5 linked regions of the Rattus norvegicus genome follow. The protein of the gene in region 1 purifies or fractionates together with the protein of each later gene. This does not show direct contact. Links are inferred from orthologs where the notes say so. Each region holds a gene or a part of one and is shown in the gene's direction. Other genes may lie near its edges. The genes, in order: Stk24, Fgfr1op2, Ppp2r1b, Slmap and Cttnbp2.

What was found.
Region 2: the proteins of Stk24 (region 1) and Fgfr1op2 purify together in Homo sapiens (affinity purification with mass spectrometry; 4 studies listed by BioGRID and IntAct, with this or other methods). This does not show direct contact. The link is inferred for Rattus norvegicus from reciprocal best matches to the Homo sapiens genes STK24 and FGFR1OP2.
Region 3: the proteins of Stk24 (region 1) and Ppp2r1b purify together in Homo sapiens (affinity purification with mass spectrometry; 3 studies listed by BioGRID and IntAct, with this or other methods). This does not show direct contact. The link is inferred for Rattus norvegicus from reciprocal best matches to the Homo sapiens genes STK24 and PPP2R1B.
Region 4: the proteins of Stk24 (region 1) and Slmap purify together in Homo sapiens (affinity purification with mass spectrometry; 6 studies listed by BioGRID and IntAct, with this or other methods). This does not show direct contact. The link is inferred for Rattus norvegicus from reciprocal best matches to the Homo sapiens genes STK24 and SLMAP.
Region 5: the proteins of Stk24 (region 1) and Cttnbp2 purify together in Homo sapiens (affinity purification with mass spectrometry; 3 studies listed by BioGRID and IntAct, with this or other methods). This does not show direct contact. The link is inferred for Rattus norvegicus from reciprocal best matches to the Homo sapiens genes STK24 and CTTNBP2.

Annotation. Positions count from the first base shown.
Region 1 is NC_086033.1:104,862,969-104,866,943, reverse strand, and holds the start of Stk24 (serine/threonine-protein kinase 24), read left to right. Parts: upstream 1-1,167; coding exon 1,168-1,209; intron 1,210-3,975. UniProt on the Homo sapiens protein: Serine/threonine-protein kinase that acts on both serine and threonine residues and promotes apoptosis in response to stress stimuli and caspase activation.
Region 2 is NC_086022.1:181,220,832-181,225,109, forward strand, and holds the start of Fgfr1op2 (FGFR1 oncogene partner 2 homolog), read left to right. Parts: upstream 1-1,466; 5' UTR 1,467-1,783; intron 1,784-4,278. UniProt on the Homo sapiens protein: May be involved in wound healing pathway.
Region 3 is NC_086026.1:60,095,552-60,099,066, forward strand, and holds part of Ppp2r1b (serine/threonine-protein phosphatase 2A 65 kDa regulatory subunit A beta isoform), read left to right. Parts: intron 1-1,227; coding exon 1,228-1,460; intron 1,461-2,054; coding exon 2,055-2,202; intron 2,203-3,515. UniProt on the Homo sapiens protein: The PR65 subunit of protein phosphatase 2A serves as a scaffolding molecule to coordinate the assembly of the catalytic subunit and a variable regulatory B subunit.
Region 4 is NC_086034.1:1,687,390-1,690,904, reverse strand, and holds part of Slmap (sarcolemmal membrane-associated protein), read left to right. Parts: intron 1-811; coding exon 812-934; intron 935-2,586; coding exon 2,587-2,661; intron 2,662-3,360; coding exon 3,361-3,515. UniProt on the Homo sapiens protein: Associates with the striatin-interacting phosphatase and kinase (STRIPAK) core complex, forming the extended (SIKE1:SLMAP)STRIPAK complex.
Region 5 is NC_086022.1:47,836,535-47,840,049, reverse strand, and holds part of Cttnbp2 (cortactin-binding protein 2), read left to right. Parts: intron 1-1,801; coding exon of another isoform or gene 1,802-1,841; intron 1,842-3,222; coding exon 3,223-3,426; intron 3,427-3,515. UniProt on the Homo sapiens protein: Regulates the dendritic spine distribution of CTTN/cortactin in hippocampal neurons, and thus controls dendritic spinogenesis and dendritic spine maintenance.

The DNA of each region.
Region 1 (3,975 bases):
GAGGTCTCAGGGTCCCTATGGCCCGAGGCAGAGCGATTCTGACTCTTAGACCACTTCCTATTTGTCACTAGTACATACAGTACTTCCTGGAGGCGCATGGATTCACTCCATCGGTCCTTGTTTGCTGCAGAAGAAACAGTTTAGAAGGAGGGCAGAGCTGGTGCCCAGAGTGGGCCCGCGGCCTTAGGAGCAGTAAAGCGAGGGGAGGGCTGGGTAAGAGTCCAGACCGTGGTTTCCTTCCATTGTCTTCTCTTCCTCCGTCACCCCTCCGCACCTCACTTTCCCCTTCTTGTGCGCAGCGCAGAGATGGCGGGGGCCCAGCCCTTCCTCCGTCCAGCTAAGTTTCCACACCCGGCGGCCCAGGCGAGGTTGAGTTCAGTATCCAAGGCACTGCACACAAACTGCCCTCTCTACCCTTGGGGTTTCCTCCTTGATCTGGCTGGAAACTTCGTACGGACAGCGAGGACGCTCCGCCCGAGTCTTTTGGAACAGGCCCCAGGCTAGGCCCCTCTGGGGACACCCCGAGTGCAGACTCTGGCCTCTGGAGGGCCGGGGCGGGTAAGAGGGAAGAGTAGGAGTGGGTGGTGCTCTCCGCTCCCCCGGGCTCAGCTCTGCTCCGCGCGCGAGGCCCACCCCGCGGTTCCGAAGGACCCGGCCACGCAGCACCCGGAGAGCGCCCGCTGAGCCCCGAGGACCCCGCCCGCGCGCCCGCAGGGAGGCCCCACTGCGGCCTAGGGCGCCCGGCGGCTCCTCCCCTCCCCCTCCCCCTCCCGGAAGCGCGGGGCGGGGTCCCCGGCCGGGCCGCGGGGGCGGGCGCGGGGGCCGGGCCGGGGCGGGGCGCGGCGGGTTGTGCGCGCCCACTCGGCTCCAGGCGGCCAGCGCTCGCGGGCCCAGGCCGCCCGGCTCGACCCGAGCACCGCGGCGGCGCAGCGGCGGGAGCCTAGGAGAAACAGCCGCAATCAGGAGACATTCCCGCTGTCCCCGCTGCCCGCCCCAGGCTCGGTGTATGGGGCCGCGGCCCGCCAACCTTCGCTGAGACCGTCCCCGGGGTGCGGTGGCCTCGGGCTCCAGAGCCCGCCCCGCCACCCGAGGGCTGCGCGCGGCCCCGGGCCTGCTCGCCGCGCGACTCCGCGCGTCCCGGGCCAGGAAGTGGCGGCGCCGAGAGCCATGGCCCACTCCCCGGTGCAGTCGGGCCTGCCGGGCATGCAGGTAGGCTGGGGCGTCCGGGTCGGGCTGCGGGCCGTGGCGGAAGCGGGCAACTTGGCGGTGTCAACACGCCCCCCCTCCCCCCAACGGCCGGGCCCGTTTCTCCGGGATCTTCGCCGACCGGAGCAGCCGGGATCTCGGGTGTGTGCACGTGGAGGGGCCGTGGGGTCTGCGGCCTCGGGTCGAGGTGGGGTGCAGGAGCTTTGTGCTCCCCAACTCGGACGCTCAGGCCAAGCGCTCATTCGGGGCAGGAGTCTGAACTAGTGTCCTTGGAGGCCCCGTTTGGGTGCCTGGGCCCTGTTTGGGCCTGGCACAGGGACAGCGGGATTCCAGGGTCTTCAGTCCCCAAGAGTCCCTCCCCAGAACCCCCAGACGGGAGACGGGAGCGCGGGACGGGGAGCGCGCCCCGGCTGGTCCCAGCCGGGCGGGCCGCAGGGCGGGGTGCAGGAAGGTGTAACCTCGCGTCCAAGCCTGTAGTTCTGGTGTGGAAAGTGCGAGGTTGCAAACCCGGGAGGCGGAACCCACACCTCTGCGAGTGCCCTGGCGTGCAGAGCCCAGGTTCACCCCTCGGATGCCAGGTCTCCGCTGCTAGACTTTCACTTTGAGACACGATGGCATCCAAAGCAGCTGTGTGCTAGCTTGCTTCTCCCTGCACTCTTTGTATCTTCTTAGTTCGCCAGTGACTTTTTCTTTGGAGGGGAAGGGGGCGGTGAGGGGAGGGAGTTGAATTTCAAGTTTACATGGATGCACGAACATTTTTTTTTTTTTTTTTTTTTTTTTGCTTTTGAGGATGTTTTTCTGTACTTTGAAAAACAATCACTGGTCTGTTCTTGTAAAGTTTGTGAGCGTATAATGCAGACAAAATGATTGCGATTAACACCGCAAGACCAGTCAAAGTTTTGTTTTCCCAAGTGAGTGAACGGAAGAGTTTTGCTTTAAAAAAGCAAAAAAAACAAAAAACAAAAAACAATAAAACCTCAGAATATCCGAGATGATCAGTCTACAGACGCAGCAGGCGCTTTCTCTCGGGCTCCTGGGTTGAGCGGCACGGGCCTTGCCTCTTACTGCTTCTGCTTCTTCTGAAACTATTTTCCATCCCTGTTTTCTTTCTTTCTTTTTTAATTCATACCTCGGGAAGGAAAATGGATTTCTTTGTCCAGGTTTGAACTCTGGAAGAATAGGAATTCAAAGTTACCACTTTAGTGGCCATTAGAGCTTGAGCCCTTTTTATTTTTGAGGAATAATAAAGTTGGAATTGAGTGTCACTGGAAAGGTGCTCTCAAAGTATTCTTGAAGTCTCACCTTGCGAGCCCGGTGTAAAACCTGATGCTGCTGGCCACAAGTTGAAAGTCAGCCGCGGCCTCCTACAACTCTTGCCTTGGTTCGACTTTAGAGACAAAACACCTGGGTCAACCGGGCGACAGTTTCTTACCTGTACAGCAAAAAGGACCTCTTGGCACATTAAAAGCACGTTTTTCCACGTTTTCTTCATTCATGTGTGGGAGGTCAGTACCAGGTGGTTCCTAGCTGGGGGCTGCTCTCTCATTTTGTTTGTTTGTTTTAAAGAATGGGCCAAAATTCTTCACTTTGGGAAAAGAAAAATTCAATAACTTTACCTAAAAAGTGTATTTCCTGTGTGTTCTTGAGAGGAAGCCTTTTTAATTTTGTTTTTCGGTATGGAGATGATAGCCTTTTCTCAGTATTAATTTTTTTTTTTTTTGTCTGTTCTGGTTCTGCCAAGGAGGAATACTGGCTTTTCACAGCCCAACCTGCCCCTCTCTATGTCTTCAAACCACATGATAACATTTTTAGTGCATTACTGGAGACTGTTCCTATCCTTCCCTTCCCTCCAGAAAAGAAAAACCAGTACATTTATTTTCAACTTGGAGTCAGGAGCTGCAGCCTGCCTCCCTAGGAGCTGTTTTGAGGATCACATGAGAGGCTTGCCTGGCCTTGACTCTTGTCTAGGATAAAGCTGGAGAGGAAGAGGTCTTCCCTGTTGCCCCACAAACTCCCTGCAGACTCCTGGCTAGGGTTTAGGAGGAACTGGGTTAAGTGTTTTGGCAAGTGGGGTGTGGTAGGGTCGAGGCAGGAGGATTTCTGTCAGTTCAAGGCCAGCCTGGGTTACCTTAGGGAGTTCTAGGCTAGCCAAGGTTAATCCTGTGACCCAGTCTCAGAAGAACTGGACAAAGTTCGGCAAGGCAGCAGACTCAGACAGCCCGAGGGAAATAAGTCGAATTCAGGAACTCTTTTGTATAAGGACTTTATGGCCTGCTAATCACTTTATATCTGTTGTTGATTGCTGGTCTGATGGAGGAAGAGGTTACTTATACCGTCTTGTAACTTTGTGAATGAGGAAGGGTTTGAATGGACCAAGGTAAAGTAGTGTGTAGAAAGGCATACAGTGATTAAACCCAGGTCTTCACTCTGCCTTTGCCAGTGTTAAACACCATTTTGTTTTAGGTTGTATTTGCTGAAGAAAGAAAGATAAGATGAATGTGTGTGTGTGTGTGTGTGTGTGTGTGTGTGTGTGTGTGTGTGTTTTCCCCCTCACTCAGTAGCTGTGATTGATGGGCAACTCTAGTGATCTTTGGTGAGGAGTTTCGGGCTGTACACCTGACTGTTTTGATGAGATTCGCTGGGGATTTTCTTTTCCTCTTTGGGTTTTGTAGTCTGTTGAGAGAATTAGAAAGTAAGACCTGGCCAGGTGCCTTTAGTCCCAGGAGACAGGGACAGGCAGATCTCAGAATTCGAGGGCCAGCCTGGTCA
Region 2 (4,278 bases), on another chromosome or scaffold:
ATTTATTTATCTCAAGTGATTTCTCACAGGTGTGTTTTCCTCAAGATTTGATAGGGATCCTAAGTTCCAAGAATTTTGTGCAAAAAAGGGCAAGGTAAAGGTGCCAGTTCAAGGAATAAGCTACGTCATACCATGCAGTCAATTTACCACATGAAATTAGCTCATACTTCTTTTTCTTTTACAAAGCACTTAAAATAGAAGAAAACATTTATACGCATTGTATTTGATTCCTATGCCCACAAACCACAGATCCATTCTTCAAATGTATTTATGCTGACCCTTCTTAGGGGCCGAGGAAAATCCACAGGAAAAGACTGACAGCAAAAGTATAACCCCAAATACACACACATCTCCTAAGGTAACTTGCATATTGGGTCTTCCTATGGCCCAAACTCTCATCCTCTCCCTCAACTTGCAATACACTACAGTAATTCACCATGTAGACCAGAACAGATGCTATCTCATGCAGATGAGGAGGAAACACTTCTAAAACTTTTATATATATATATATATATATATATATATATATATATATATATATATATATACACACACACACACACATATATATACATGTATACACACACACACACGTGGTGCACTGCCCCGCTTCGCTCTTAAAATTTTAGAGCAAAAAAAATTTTTTTTTAAAAATCTACATTCTAAAAGCACATGGGAAACAGAGCAAGTGTAACGAAGCATCTTAGGGACCCGCTATTACCTCCGGCTGCTCTGGAGCGCACCGCCTCTCCCCGCCCAAAGTCCCTGTCTGCAACCTTCTGCACACACCTGGCTGCTAGGTAGAGGGGTGGGGGGGGGGGGACAAGGTGAGTGGACGGGAAAGCCCTCGGCGTCGAGGTTCGCTTACTTTCGTGCCTGGTCCTGTAGTGAGCGAACGGAGGCTAAGGGAGAAGGCAGACGAGGGTGGGTGGGGAGTCGGCGCACAGACGGTCTGGTACCACCCGCAGAAGACTGACTGCCCGGCTCATCGCCCAACACTCCGGCTTCTTAAACGCAGGAGCGCGCGCATGCGCGTGCACCCACCAAAGCGCACTCGGGCTCGCGCGTGCGCACGGCGCTCTCGCACAGTCCCGCCATCTTCCCCTTCCCCTTAGAGGCTACCAGAGGCCGAACCGGAAGAGGGCGGAGCAAGTGAGGGGAAAAAAAAGAAGGCTCTAACGATTGTTCCCAATCGACCGTTGGGAAGAATGGTCAGGACCACCTGAGAGAACCCCCAAAGTACTAGCCGCAGCCGGGATAAGCCGGCCTCGGCTCTGCACAGGCAGAGCGCACCCACTCAAGCTCCCCTCTCCGCCTTCAGTCCAGACCGGTAGCCCCTCGGAAAACGCGCGAGAGAGTGCGAGCCGCCAGAGCAAACCCGTGAGAGCAGAAGAGGGAAGCCCCGCCCCCTACCCATCCACCAATCAACAGCCAGCCGCCTGCAGGGGGCGGGGCTTTCGGTAACTCGCGGAGGGAAGTCTCGCGAGGCTTGTCGCTGTGTGGCTGCCAGTAGCGGAGGTTCTGGTCCGCCCGGGATGGAGCCGAGGCAAGCGGGCTGCCGGATCCTCCCTGCCGCTGTGTGAGCAGGGCTGTGTGTCCGCTCGCTGAGCAGGCGCAGCGAGGCCGCGGAGAGCACTCTCTGGGCGCCTCCATCTCGCGGGTGGTGGTCGCCGTCTCTGACGGCTGAGGGGGACTGAAGCTGAGTGGAAAAACACGAGTGGGTGAACCTCTGAGCCGGGCTCCCTGTCTCCGTGCTCTCACTGAGCTCCTGCCGGGAACAGAGGTACGGAAAGTTCCATGAAAACCCCCGGGCCTGCAGGCCACGGGACACCCTTTCCGGGTTTCCTTTCCTGCCACTCCGGAGCTCCGTGGGCGGTGGCTGGAGGGACTTGTCGGTGTTGAGTTTGCCTCAGCGCACTCGACCGCGTTTGCGACTGGGACTTAGCCACGATCCTGAGGGAGCTGCTGAGATCGTTTGAATCCCTCAGCGCCCTTCCAAATTCTGTTCCAAGTTGGAACAACTGGCTTCCCTCAGACAGATGTTTCAGAAGCTCCAAGTGTGTGCTTTCCACCATTTTCAGGAACAGTGCAGTTCCTCTGCTTCCAGAGTGATGAGTGGGGGCTGGATGCTTATTTGTGTGTGTGATCCGCACGCATTCTTTCTTTATCCCATTCTTTGAAAGACTCATGCCGTATATTGCCACTGTCATCTTTGACAAGAGTGAGGACCCTGTCTCTTTTCTTCCGGTCCCTGATCGTAGTACCGTCCCCCTTTCCAGAACACGGACCTCAGAATTGTCTAAGGCTCTGTATTCCACTCACACTGCACCAGATTTTTTGCTTCTTTCACTGTGACTATGACAGTTGCCCTTCCTCCACCCCAAACCGGTGTGCCCGCCTCAGCCTTCCATACTTACTGTGAAATGCATTCTCTCTCCTTAAACTTTTTCAAGTTCTAATTTAAGCCTACCGATCCGTCAGGGCTTTTTACCGTCCTATCTTAAATCATATTTTACCTCTTCAGGGCCATCCTGTTGCCGCCCCTAATTTTTTACCATCCACTTATGCCCGGCTGTTGGGGGTTTCCCAAGCATACCTCACATTTCCGCCACTGCTGTGTGAACCCAGATAGTCTGTTGGGATGCTTGGTTTTCCTTCTGTCTCATCGTCTCTCAAAACCCTACGTCTTTTTAGACTCCCTCGGGTGACATCGATAACACAGTGAACTCCCAGAGCTCTTGACATAATTCCGCAGTATTTATTAGGATGCATTATTTGTTCAGTTACCTGTCTCTCCTGCCAGCTTGAACTTGAATCTGGAATCGTGTCTTACTCATGTTTAAAACAAATGCTAGTTCAGTGTTGGCTCATAGCAAGCATTATTATTATATACTATTTATAATGTAATCATTCTAAAGAATTTGCTATAAAAATTCTGTCTCTTAAAAATCAGAATATTAGAACCCAAAAGCCCTTACCTGCTTTGAGCATGAACATGAGCAGCCTTGTAACCCTAACACTTATGTAATTAATTGTACTTTTGCTCTTAGTGGATGGAGATTGTATATAATATCAAATGCACATGCATGCACATACCCTATGCATTCAAATGATTTTATATTATGTTAGTATCATGTTTAACAACTAGGATCTTATGGGATGCAAATGTTTTTGATAGTGCTCAGCATAAGAAAAATTCCAACTCTTGGCCATATGTTAGAAATAACTGGCTTGGGTTAGGTTAGTTCTTTTTGGGATTGTTAATTTGAACACACAACATAGCCACAATTTTAGGGAGTGTATAAATTGGTCTTGATTCAATGTGCTCTTTCTCTCAAATTGTGTTCCTTTCAACTTTAAGAATTGATTTTCTTCATAAAGCTCCAAGTATATTAATATTCAAGGACAGTAGGAATTTTCTGTACTTTCAAATAGTGTATGTGCTGAACAAGATGCTCATTTTTATATGTTCTTTATAAACATTTTGTTTGTTTGTTTATGGGTGGTTGTTGGAGGCTCTACATAGTCCTAGCTGTCCTAGAACTCACTAGGTAGACCAGTCTGGCCTTAAGTTCACAGATAAATCAACTGGCTCTGCCTCCCTAGTGCTGGGATTAAAAGTATATACTCCCATAACTGGCTATATACATTCTTGATCTCTTAAAATATTTCTCTAAGGACTTGAAACACATTTTTATGTTGCTATTTTCATGTGCCAGTTAATATAATATTATTGCATATTTAATAACACTAGAAGTACCAACCTGAGCAGTAACAATTTAAATTTTTGACATCTAAAAACATGTCATATCATACCATGTTTTTGTATCTCCAGAAATTGGATGATTAGTAGATTTGCTAATAAAAGAAACAAGAATTACTTGAATTTCTTTAGATTTTTCTTAACTAAAAGCTAAAAAGTATCCAGCTGGCAATTGCTGCTGTGGGTAGGTGGTGGTTTCTCTTTAATGAGCAGCAGAATGTTCTGGACCATCTGTAAGAATCTGACTGCAGATGTCTTAGTGGTAGAGTGGGTGAAAATGTGGCTAAGCAGGAAGCAAAAGAAGAAAGAAAACTTGTTTCTTAAAGGCATACCTCTGTAATTTGAGCCTACCTGTTTAAAATAATTTAAGAGTATTATGACTAGTTAAGACAAAACTGAAAAAATAGGTAAATAAATTGAAAGTATTCCTTTTTTAAATTGGATTCACTTTTTTACTGTGTAACAAAATGTGGAAAATATCTCTCCCACTTTACTAGTCAAAAAGGGAGAGAAAC
Region 3 (3,515 bases), on another chromosome or scaffold:
ACAGTGCAGGCTCCTTTGGAGCAAGGTGCCCTGTGTGCTCGTTCAGCACAGCAGCAGTCTTTGATGGGAAGTGAGTTTCAGGCTGCACGGGAGTGTTTTGAGCTCAGAGCTGACAGAGTATAAAACCCGGGGCTAGTGAGCAGAAGCATCTCGGGCTCAGAAACGGGCACTGGGAAACAGAATTCAAATGAAGGGACAACTCCTAAGCCATTTCCCGGAGGTTGGCCATCTCCTGTGGTAGTTCTAGACTGTGTCACAGTAGGCAGGGGACAGATCGTGAAAGACTGACTAGTAAGAAGCGGTGTTTTTTCAGGGGACCTCTGACACACCCTCTAGGAAAGCACAAAGCTCTCTACTTTTTTGAACCACATTAGGCAGCACACTTCTTCTTTTCAAGTCCCAATCGTCTTTCTTGGTCAGTCTGCCATGGAGTTTTGTTCTAATTTCACAGCTTTAGCTTCTGCTCAGTCAAGTGGGATCAAATACAAATTTAGAAAGGCAGCTAGAGATTCAGAGGAGCAGCCCGTCTCCACTGTCCACCAGGCCGCATCGCTAGGTTACTGATGGGCCAGACCTTGAACCTCCTCTTGTCCTTTATGTCTCTGGATCTGCAAGGTCACCACTACCTCTGCATTTGTTTCCGATTGTCTGAAACTCCCATTCTTTGGCTCATGGAAAGATTCTGAATACATTTGGGGGGAAAGTGGTGTAGTCAGCTTTTTATTGGTTAGGAAAGTTGGGGCTCTTGAGCTCTCCTGGACAGGGTTGTTCACACCTCCAAGAATGGTAGGATGGTGCAGGGAAGGGCATGGACTCTGTACCTGACAAGAATTGACCATGCAGTGTGGCACCCACGGCTGGCCGTGGTTTTGGACTGGTTCCTAAGGAAGTAGCAAACTCCTGTCTCAATGTGGCTGCAAAGCATTTCAACTCCAGCTCCAAATAATCGTGATTCTGTGTCAAGTCTCTTCCACAGTGTCATTTGTAGACACCATCTGGGAATTGCCATCTGGGACATTCCATCTTGGCTTTTCTACAGAAGTCGTGTCTTCAGGTTGGCCACACCATATGTTATCACTGTGTTATCTGAAAGTAACCATTTGGTATGATGTAGTTAACATTCTGGTTATATGTACCGTTTCCCTTCAGTCACATAAAAGGTGGCATTCTGTGTCTAACCTGATTTAGTAAGTTGTCATCTCTGGTTTTCCTTTTCGATCTCTGCAGCCTCCTTTGGAAAGTTTGGCTACGGTGGAGGAGACTGTCGTTCGAGACAAGGCTGTGGAGTCCCTGAGGCAGATCTCCCAGGAGCACACTCCCGTTGCCCTGGAAGCTCATTTTGTACCCCTGGTGAAGCGCTTAGCAAGTGGGGATTGGTTCACATCTCGCACATCTGCATGCGGTTTGTTCAGCGTTTGCTACCCCAGAGCTTCAAATGCTGTCAAGGCAGAGATCCGACAGTAAGGCAGTTTTTAGTGTTTGGGACTCACAGCAGGGTTTACCCAGCTCTCTGTTTCCAACAGAGCTTCATACGAGGCTAGTGGGCTTGGCGATCTTTTCCATGTAGTTACATATACTAATGGCTTATTTTGTTCATGCGCATGTGCAAGCATATGTGTGTGTGTGTGTTTGTGTTTGCGCGCGCATACATGCATGCATGTGCGTGCATATTTCATGTGGCAGCCTCTGGTGTTGATCTTCAGGTACCTTTCTTCCTTTTCTTTGACTCAGGGTTTCTCATTAGCCTTGAATTCACTTCATAGGCTAACCTACCTGGCCTGCACACTTTTGGGGGACTGCCTGCCTCTGCCTCCCATCTTGCCCCTCTAAGGTTATAGGCACTCCCACTGTGTTCAGCTGTGTAAGAGGGTCCTGGGGACGATGAGTGGGCTTCATGCCCGGGAGGTAGACACTTTCCTGTCTAAGCTGTCTTTCTAGTCTTTTCTTACCCCTGTGAGTAGAAACCTAGTCATTGATGTTTATAAGAGACTGAAAGGTACTTGGTGCTTGCTTGCCCATGTGTATGACAGGAAGTACCTTATTTTATGCTGCAGGCACTTCCGTTCCCTGTGCTCGGATGATACACCAATGGTGCGACGTGCTGCTGCTTCCAAATTGGGTGAATTTGCAAAAGTTTTGGAATTAGACAGTGTTAAAACTGAAATTGTTCCATTATTCACGAATCTGGCTTCAGATGAACAGGTAACTGGAGACCTTTGATGCTAATGTAGGATTGTTTTGCAACATAATACTCAGTTCCTACCTGGTGTTTCTTTCTTAATTAGGCCCCACTTTTCTTTGTTAGTAGCTGTTAAAAGGAAGAGTTGGAGAAGAATTGGGTTCCATCACTAGGAAGCCAGGGCTGCATCAGGGACAGGTGTCTTGCAGAATTATGGGCTCTGTTACATATGGAGATGAAGCATTTCCTGGAATTCTGACTTTGTTAATTTCTGCATTAGAGTATGGTTGTACTGCACACAACAGTGACCTTAAATCCAAGGGTCTGGGTTTCCTTGGTGTAGAAATGAGAAAAATTGGGAATTCCTAAATTCTTTAATACAGTTGTTTGTCAGTACAGAGTGTGGGGATGGTTCTAGGATCATGTAAGAGTGCTTATCTTAGATTTCAGGTCCCATATGTAAAATGGTGTACACAATCTCCAGAACACAGACACTCAAGGAAGTGGAAGTCCAGCTAGTTTATGAAGCTTGGTTAAGGCTATATGTAGCTAGTTGAGTGTACATAGGCTTTAGCCACAGCACGGGGGCCGGTGTGGTTTCTTTGTGCTGGGATAGGAGTAGGCAGGCGTAGAATCTTTATTTGGAATTTAGCTGGTAATATTTCCCATGATGTAATTTGGCATTTTCTTTTGTCTCCTATACTTCCTGTTTGCAGATTTTAAAAATTTTTTTATTTATTTTTTTGATGAAGGCCAGCCAGGAAATGCTTTGAGGGGCCTATAGTTCCTATGAAACTCCACTCCCATGGTCCAAAAGCAGCCAGAGTATGGGAACCAATGGGCATGAAACTTACCCATGTCCTAGGTGGGAGCTGGCTGTGAGCATTTGGTGCTCAGAAAATACTCCATGTATTTTATTTTGGAGAAATGGAAATACACTGTGCTCCCTCTGACTGTGTATAGAAGACCTGCTCCTGGCTTACCCGTGGACAGAAACATTAAGTACCTACATATATATATATATCTATGTAAGGCATGGTTCTTATGTTAACTGCTGTGTTAAAGGCAGACAGGGTCCTTACTCTCATGGAACTTACATTATAATGGAGGAAAACAAACATGATAAAAATCAGGCATAAATGTTATAAAAATCAATGTAACACAGTAGAACACTGGCTGCTAGTCAGCAGAACTCTGAAGAAGTGACAGGCAGGCAGGAGACAACTAACATTGGAACATGGTGGTTGAAAGAGTCCAGGGAAGACAGGAGTGGAGAAGGAAGGTGGGAGCAGATCATAGCCCAGGGAAGACTTTGCAGTTTTGATTTTCTACTGTA
Region 4 (3,515 bases), on another chromosome or scaffold:
GGAAGTGCCTCCTCTCCCTGCTGAGCCTGCTCGTCCTCACGTTCTTTCTTTTTTTTTTTTTTTTTTTCCGGAGCTGGGGACCGAACCCAGGGCCTTGCGCTTCCTAGGCCTAGGCAAGCGCTCTACCACTGAGCTAAATCCCCAACCCCCTCACGTTCTTTCTTAAAGATGAATTTCTTTTGTTTTTCCATTTTTGTTTTAGCTCCAGGTAGTTTTTCTTGTCTTATTCTTGAATTTCAAAGTCGATGGAGAAGGAGCTGGCAGAGGGTTGGTTGCTCTGGTAAATTAGGCATTTGCTGCCAAGCCTGATAACCTGAGTTCAATCCTTGGGAGCCCCATGGGGGAGAGAAAGAGACAGCTTCCTTACGTTGTCTTCTGACCTCTATATCTGCACTGTGGCATGCAGGCATGCATCTCTCTCTGTCTCTCTCTGTCTCTCTCTCTCTCTCTCTTTCACACACACACACACACACACACACACACACACACACACACACACACACACCAATAACCGTAGTAGTAAGAACATGATTGAAAACTGATGGAAACAGTGGTGTGCCTATCTCCTCACTGGATTTCAAGTTTACAGGAGATGAACATCAATTATGTGTATGTTAATTTCTATCTTTTATAGTACTAGTATCTGTGTTAACTAATGTGCTTACTCTAATTTGCTTCTAAGTTTTATTTAACTCAGTTGTGCCATGTTGCAAACTATGTATGTCTAAACATGAAAGAGTGCCAGACACTAGTTACAGAGAATATAGTGCAGTACTAACACTTGCTTTTTAAAAAAACGTGTTTTTGTCAGATGACTTACAGGGTACCCAGGCAGAAACTGAGGCCAAACAAGACACTCAACATCTTCGGAAAGAATTGGTGGAAGCCCAGGAGCTAGCTAGAGCAAGTAAACAAAAATGCTTTGACCTTCAAGGTGAGACGAAGATCCCTGCAGCCCCCTGGGGTCCTGTGAGGCAGAGTAGGTGTGATGGCACAAGAGCTCAGAGCCCAGAGGCATGGCAGGGAGAGCCAGGGCTGGGCTGTTCTCAGACATCACTTCAGCTGGTGAGAGGGCTATCACAGCTGCTCTCTGCCTTTGTAATTGTGAGGAGCACAAGAGCTCTACCGACAGAAGAGCTCTGTGCTTCATTGTTAGTCTGTGCTCTTTGCAGGCTGAATGTCCCTTATCTCAAATGCTCAGGTCAAAGGATTCAGATTTCATAGCATTTCATATTGCACATGTGTTTGGATGTGAGATGCTCCATCCACCAGTGTGGATCCACACAAGCCTGGCTCAGGAGGGAACCGTGTAAATTAAGTTAGTGCTCACTTTTCAGGGTGGTTATTTAACAGGAAGGTTGCAGACAGGGTTCAAAATATGGAATCTTCTCAGCTGAGGCCAGTGGTCTATGTAGAGGGGAAAGGGTGTAAGTTTGAGGCCAGTCTGGGTAGTTAGATGCCCTCAAAAAAAAAAAAAAAAGTCTTTTTCATCTCAGCCACTTCTCTTCCTCGTGGCCTATAATCATCCGCCTCTGGAACCATTGCCCTTTGGCAGTTAAAGTCTTGGAGAGTCCCAAGATCCAGCCCATGGATCCTTATGGCACCCCTAAGTTTTATGAGATTCCCTTCCTGGGCAGAACAATTCAAATGCCAAGATGAAGCTGTGAATTCCTAACTACTTCCTTTCCTGATTCTTAAAGACATGATTGCTGATGAGCTGTTAGGACTGTGGCTTATCTTAAGGAAGGCCAGCCCAGTGCATGTGGCCCTGGCTTTCAGCCACAGAACTGCAGAAATTAAAAAGTAGGCAGTTGTCTCTCTTGACTTTATTATAGGATACAAACTAATGTTTAATTACAATGAAAAATATTTATCAATCAGCCATTGTTTTTATTTACTATGTGTTTGACAATAAACACAAGAATATTCCATTTTGGGGTTTTTGTTTTGTTTTTTTGTTCGTGGTTGGGTAGAGTTTTTTTGTTTTGTTTTGAGATAGGGTCTCAATACATAGCCTTTGCTAGCAAAGGGACTCACTACATAGATGACAACTTGCTTGAATTCACAGAGATCTGCCTGCCTCTGTTACCTCAGTGTTTGGGTTAGATTAAGTATGCAGTATGATACCCAGTCCTTAATATGATAATTTTTTAATGGTACCAGGTATTGTACCTAGGCCTTTGTGTAAGCACTCTGCCACAGAGCTATCACAACCCTCTAACATAGCCTAGGCTGGCCTTGAACTTGTGAGACTCCTTGTCTTAACCGTCCCCGTATTTGGGATTATAAACCTGTGCTATCTTGCATTGCTCAAAATGATAACTAACAATTATGTGAATATTTCTTGTGTAAGAAAAGCCTACTGGTATTCAGTGTATGAAATTATGGAACTAGATTTTATAGATTTCTTACTTACTATTGTTTTGTGTTCTAAAATCTTAATGGCTAATACTGATAATACTTAACATCTAACCTTGTGTCTCTCCATAAACTTTAAAAGACAAATTTTAGAAATTTCTAGTTGCACAATTATGAATGTTTTTCATTAACTCACAAAATTAGATACACTGTGTTTTTGCCTTTTAGCTCTTTTGGAAGAAGAACGAAAAGCCTATCGAAATCAAGTTGAGGAATCAGCTAAACAAATCCAGGTTCTTCAAGGTATGGGGCTCCCACGACTGTTAAGACAGCTGTGGTTATGGTTGTGTTCAGTGATTGCAAAGGAATGGAAAGTAAGGTTGCAGAGGGTCCTCAGTTGCCATGGCTCTGTTCTTCCCTAGAAACCGTCGTACTAGGCCCTTGGACAGTTGGCCTTCAAAGCAGACAAAGGGAGGGACTGTCCCAGTAACCCATCATAGACACTGGAGTTGAGAAGGCAGGGTCATGCTAACTGGAGTGCTGCATGCCTGTAATCCAGCACGTAAGAGGCAGGATGGTCATGAGTTTAAGGCCCACCTCAGCTGGGTAATGACTCTGAGTCCTTCCTGCCTCAGCTAAAACTGTCTCACTGCCTCCCTCCCTACAAAATATTTTCATCGGCAAGAAGATAGAAAAATATATATTATATACATGCATATATAAATCCCTTTGTACTCAATGTTCGTTATTTTATATATGAATGAAGGCATTAGAAAAAAGAATAAATGTCAACATACTAAAATAAATTTACTTTAGGTTTTTGGCTTTTTTCTTTTACATCTGTGTTCTGGTATTTTCTGTACAAACATGTGCAGTTTAATCAAAAGAAAGTGAGGAAAAAGAGCTGTGAGAGTGAGGCTGCACAGTGGCTGAAACCTGTAATGTGCTGTAATTGCATTCCTAATCCCTGTGACTTGGGAAATGATAAATACACTTTTACAGTCCAGCTGCAGAGGCTACACATGGATATGGAGAATCTCCAGGAGGAAAAGGACACTGAGATTTCTAGCACGAGAGATAAATTGCTGAGTGCTCAAGATGAGATTTTGCTCCTTCATCAAGCAGCAGCAAAGGCTGTGTCTGAGCGGGACACTGAC
Region 5 (3,515 bases), on another chromosome or scaffold:
GAGACTCTTTATTCCTCTTTGCCCTGGAACCTGGGATCTTTCTCTTGAGATGCCCTGTGTCCCTGCCACCTCTGTCTGTAACAGTGAGGTGAAATCCCAGTGAAAAGCCGGAGTGGCAGAGGGGTCTCATTTTAATGGGTTGCGTTCTAAAGTACGCTAACCAGAGGTGACCTCATAACAAATCATGAACTCTTAAAATAGTGTTTTAAATTGTAAATGAATTAGAAATTCTTACCAATTTGTCAAATGAATATATAATATATAATGTATAATATACACATATATTTATATATTATATATGATATATTCCAATGGTTACATGAAGAAGGTTAAAATAGGAATCACTCCAGGCAACTGAATCCCCAAACCTTTGCAAATTTTTCTGTTTCCCTTCCTTCCTTCCTTCCTTCCTTCCTTCCTTCCTTCCTTCCTTCCTTCCTCTCTTTCTTCTTTGTGATTGTTTTTCTTGTTGATATTATTTATTTTATTACTATTATTTATTTTATGAATTCCATTTCATTTGGTTCAGACTTTTTTCCTTCCTTAAAGATATTTTCTAAAGTATACTCGTGTATGATTGGCTTGAATGCTAAATCGCAAAATCAGAATGGTCTGGGCTGTGACCTTAACCCTCTCCACCCTCTGAAGCTGGTGCCAGAAGCTGTTCTCAGCTCCTTTTCCTCTGCCCTTGCATGTCCCCATGTTTTGTGGCCTGCTATGCAAATCCTCACCTTTACTAGCGTTTGCCTACAATGCCGTGTAGCCGAATGACTTTCTAACACCTGTAGAGTAGCTGTGTGGACTCGGGTTTATTCTGTCCTTAACTAATCCAGTTAATCACATATTACCATTTCTCTCATGGCTGAGAATTTCAGATGAATACTAATGTTTAGTGAGGTCTTTCTTTTAATTCCAACATATAAGTAACAGGAGTTCTTAAAATAAATTGTATTGGGAGAAAACTGGAAATTATAGTAAAAAAATAACATTTGTTTAAATTTAAGAGCTTAAAGTTTACAATATTTTCAAAACGTTTTCTTTTGTGAAGATTTAGAGACCATTTTTTTTCAGTCCTCCAAAGAAACTGATACTGCTTTCTTTGAATCTGACTGGAAAAGCAACAACACTTCATGACCTTATGATTAATAACATTTTTGAATAAAGCCTTTTACTGCTCTCAAGTGGGGTCTTCCAGAAAATTATACACATAATTGAATATTTCCATATAAACCCATATAAAACAATTGGAAATGTGAATTTGTATTGTCTCTTACAAAGCCTAGAACTGTGGTTTAAACTAAAAGATGAGCAAACTTTAGTATGTACACATTGGTATTCATGGAAGACTGTCAAGAACCTAGATTCCTTGAATGAGATGTAAAGAAGAGATGAGTGTGTGTGCACGCATGTGTACAGATGTGCGTGTGTGTATGCATGTGTGCATGTACATGTGTGCCTGTGTGCATGAGTGCGGTGTGTGTGTGTGTGTATGTGTGTGTGTGTGTGCACGCGCGCGCAGATGTTTGCGTGGGTGCATGAGTGTGTGTATGCATGTGTACAGGTATGTATGTGTGTATGAGTGTGTGTGTACATGAGTATGTATGTGTGTGTGTTTATAGCATGAAGCAGACCCCCCCATCCCTGTTCTGCTGGGGACGGTAGTGTAATGCTTTCTTATTGCTTGTTAATTACAGTCAAGGTGTCCTACCTTGGTGTTTATAATTTTCTGTCTATCATCCATTTCTAATAAGTACTGATTTAATTTTTGTGGGCCTGTTTTTTTTGTTTGTTTGTTTTTAAGAAAATACAAAAGGTAAAATGTACCAGAGAGGAGCCTTCTTGTAAGTATGAAGTAAAAATACTACTTTTCTAAGAAGACCTAATCAATATGGATGGGAAAATATAAAGATTTGAGAAATATTGAATTTTATAAACATTTTAATTGTCTGTCATTGCTGTCCTGATATGATAAAACAATAAGTAATCCGTGGATTCAAATTATTAGTTGTAAAGATATAATTTTGAGATTCAATCTTCCATGGATTTCTATTGGCATAAATGGCCTCTCTGACTTATTTTTATAAAGAATTTTCAATATTCAGAGGAGTTTCTTTGATATGTACTTTAAATATATCCTGAAAGAAGTAAAGCCAAAAACTTGTGATTAATCATAAGAATTGAATATTACATTCATATTAGTGTAACTGATACTGATAGCTATATAGCTATTCCCCATGGAAAGTCTGCATGAAGAATATATATGTGTAGTTATGTACAGAACTGCTGAAAAGTACTGGGGCTCACTCAATGTATTTAACCCGAAAGGACATAATTATCAATTAAATAAACATGTGTACTTTACTGTTTTTACAGCCTTTTGATCAAGGAAGGATTCAGAAAATTTTCCAGGCTATATGCAGCCGACTTCACACTCTTAACAGATTCTCTTCTAAAACTGCTAAATACTGATGAGAAAACTAACCATGATCATCTTGCAATCTTTGTTTAAAGCTGTGTGGTAGAGCACCCTGCTTTGTTGGCCAATCTCAAGTTTGTTAGTCCTGCAGTGAAGATGGCGAGAGGTGGCCGTTTTCAAAGTTTTCAGAGTTACTGAACTATGTTCTGTCGTACAATACAGCCATTTATATATATTGTATTTCTGTCAGCTTTTAACACCCATATTTGTTTCTTAGATTTGAAATGAAGGAATAGGACAAACTCCTTGATAGAGTGAGGCCTATTTCCTGGTTTATACAAATAATTATCTTAGAAGCATTGTTGAAGAAACTCTTTGCAGTTATGGTGGTATCTCACACTTACTTAATTTACATTGCCATATCAGTATTGAAATTAAGGTAACCTTTATATAATCTTAAAATTCAAAATGATCTTAAATTCTAAATAGAAATTTAAGTTTGTGGAATGTGGTAGCCGTCTCGGCCTCCTAAAAGCAATTATTTCTTTAACTCTTTTTTCTTGTGCCAAACTGACGACTAAAAATAACATGCCCCCCCATCAAGGTTAATTTAATTAGCACCAGATAGAAAGTCTGAAAATAACAGTACGGATTTATGCTAAGACAGTATTAACAGATTGATAATGTTAGAAACCATGTAATCTTCTAGAAATACGTGTTCCTGTCTCTGTGTGTGTGATTGAAAAAAGAATGGTAGTTTCTGTCTCTTCTTCCTGCTGTCTAACTAGGGTCACTTTAACCTACAGGCTGGTCACCCTCCCTAACCCCTTTGCTAATGAGTGGTGGTCCTGCCCCCCTGGCTGGCAGGCCCACCCTTCTTCAGCAAGCTGCTGCCCAGGGAAATGTCACTCTATTATCAATGCTGCTTAATGAAGAAGGACTGGACATAAATTACTGCTGTGAAGATAGCCATTCTGCCTTGTATTCTGCTGCTAAGAATGGACATACAGGTAAAAAGACAAAACAAACCAAAACTGAACAGACTGACAATGCCTTACCTTAACACACTTGGCAAGAGGATGAAAGACCAAAGGGGACT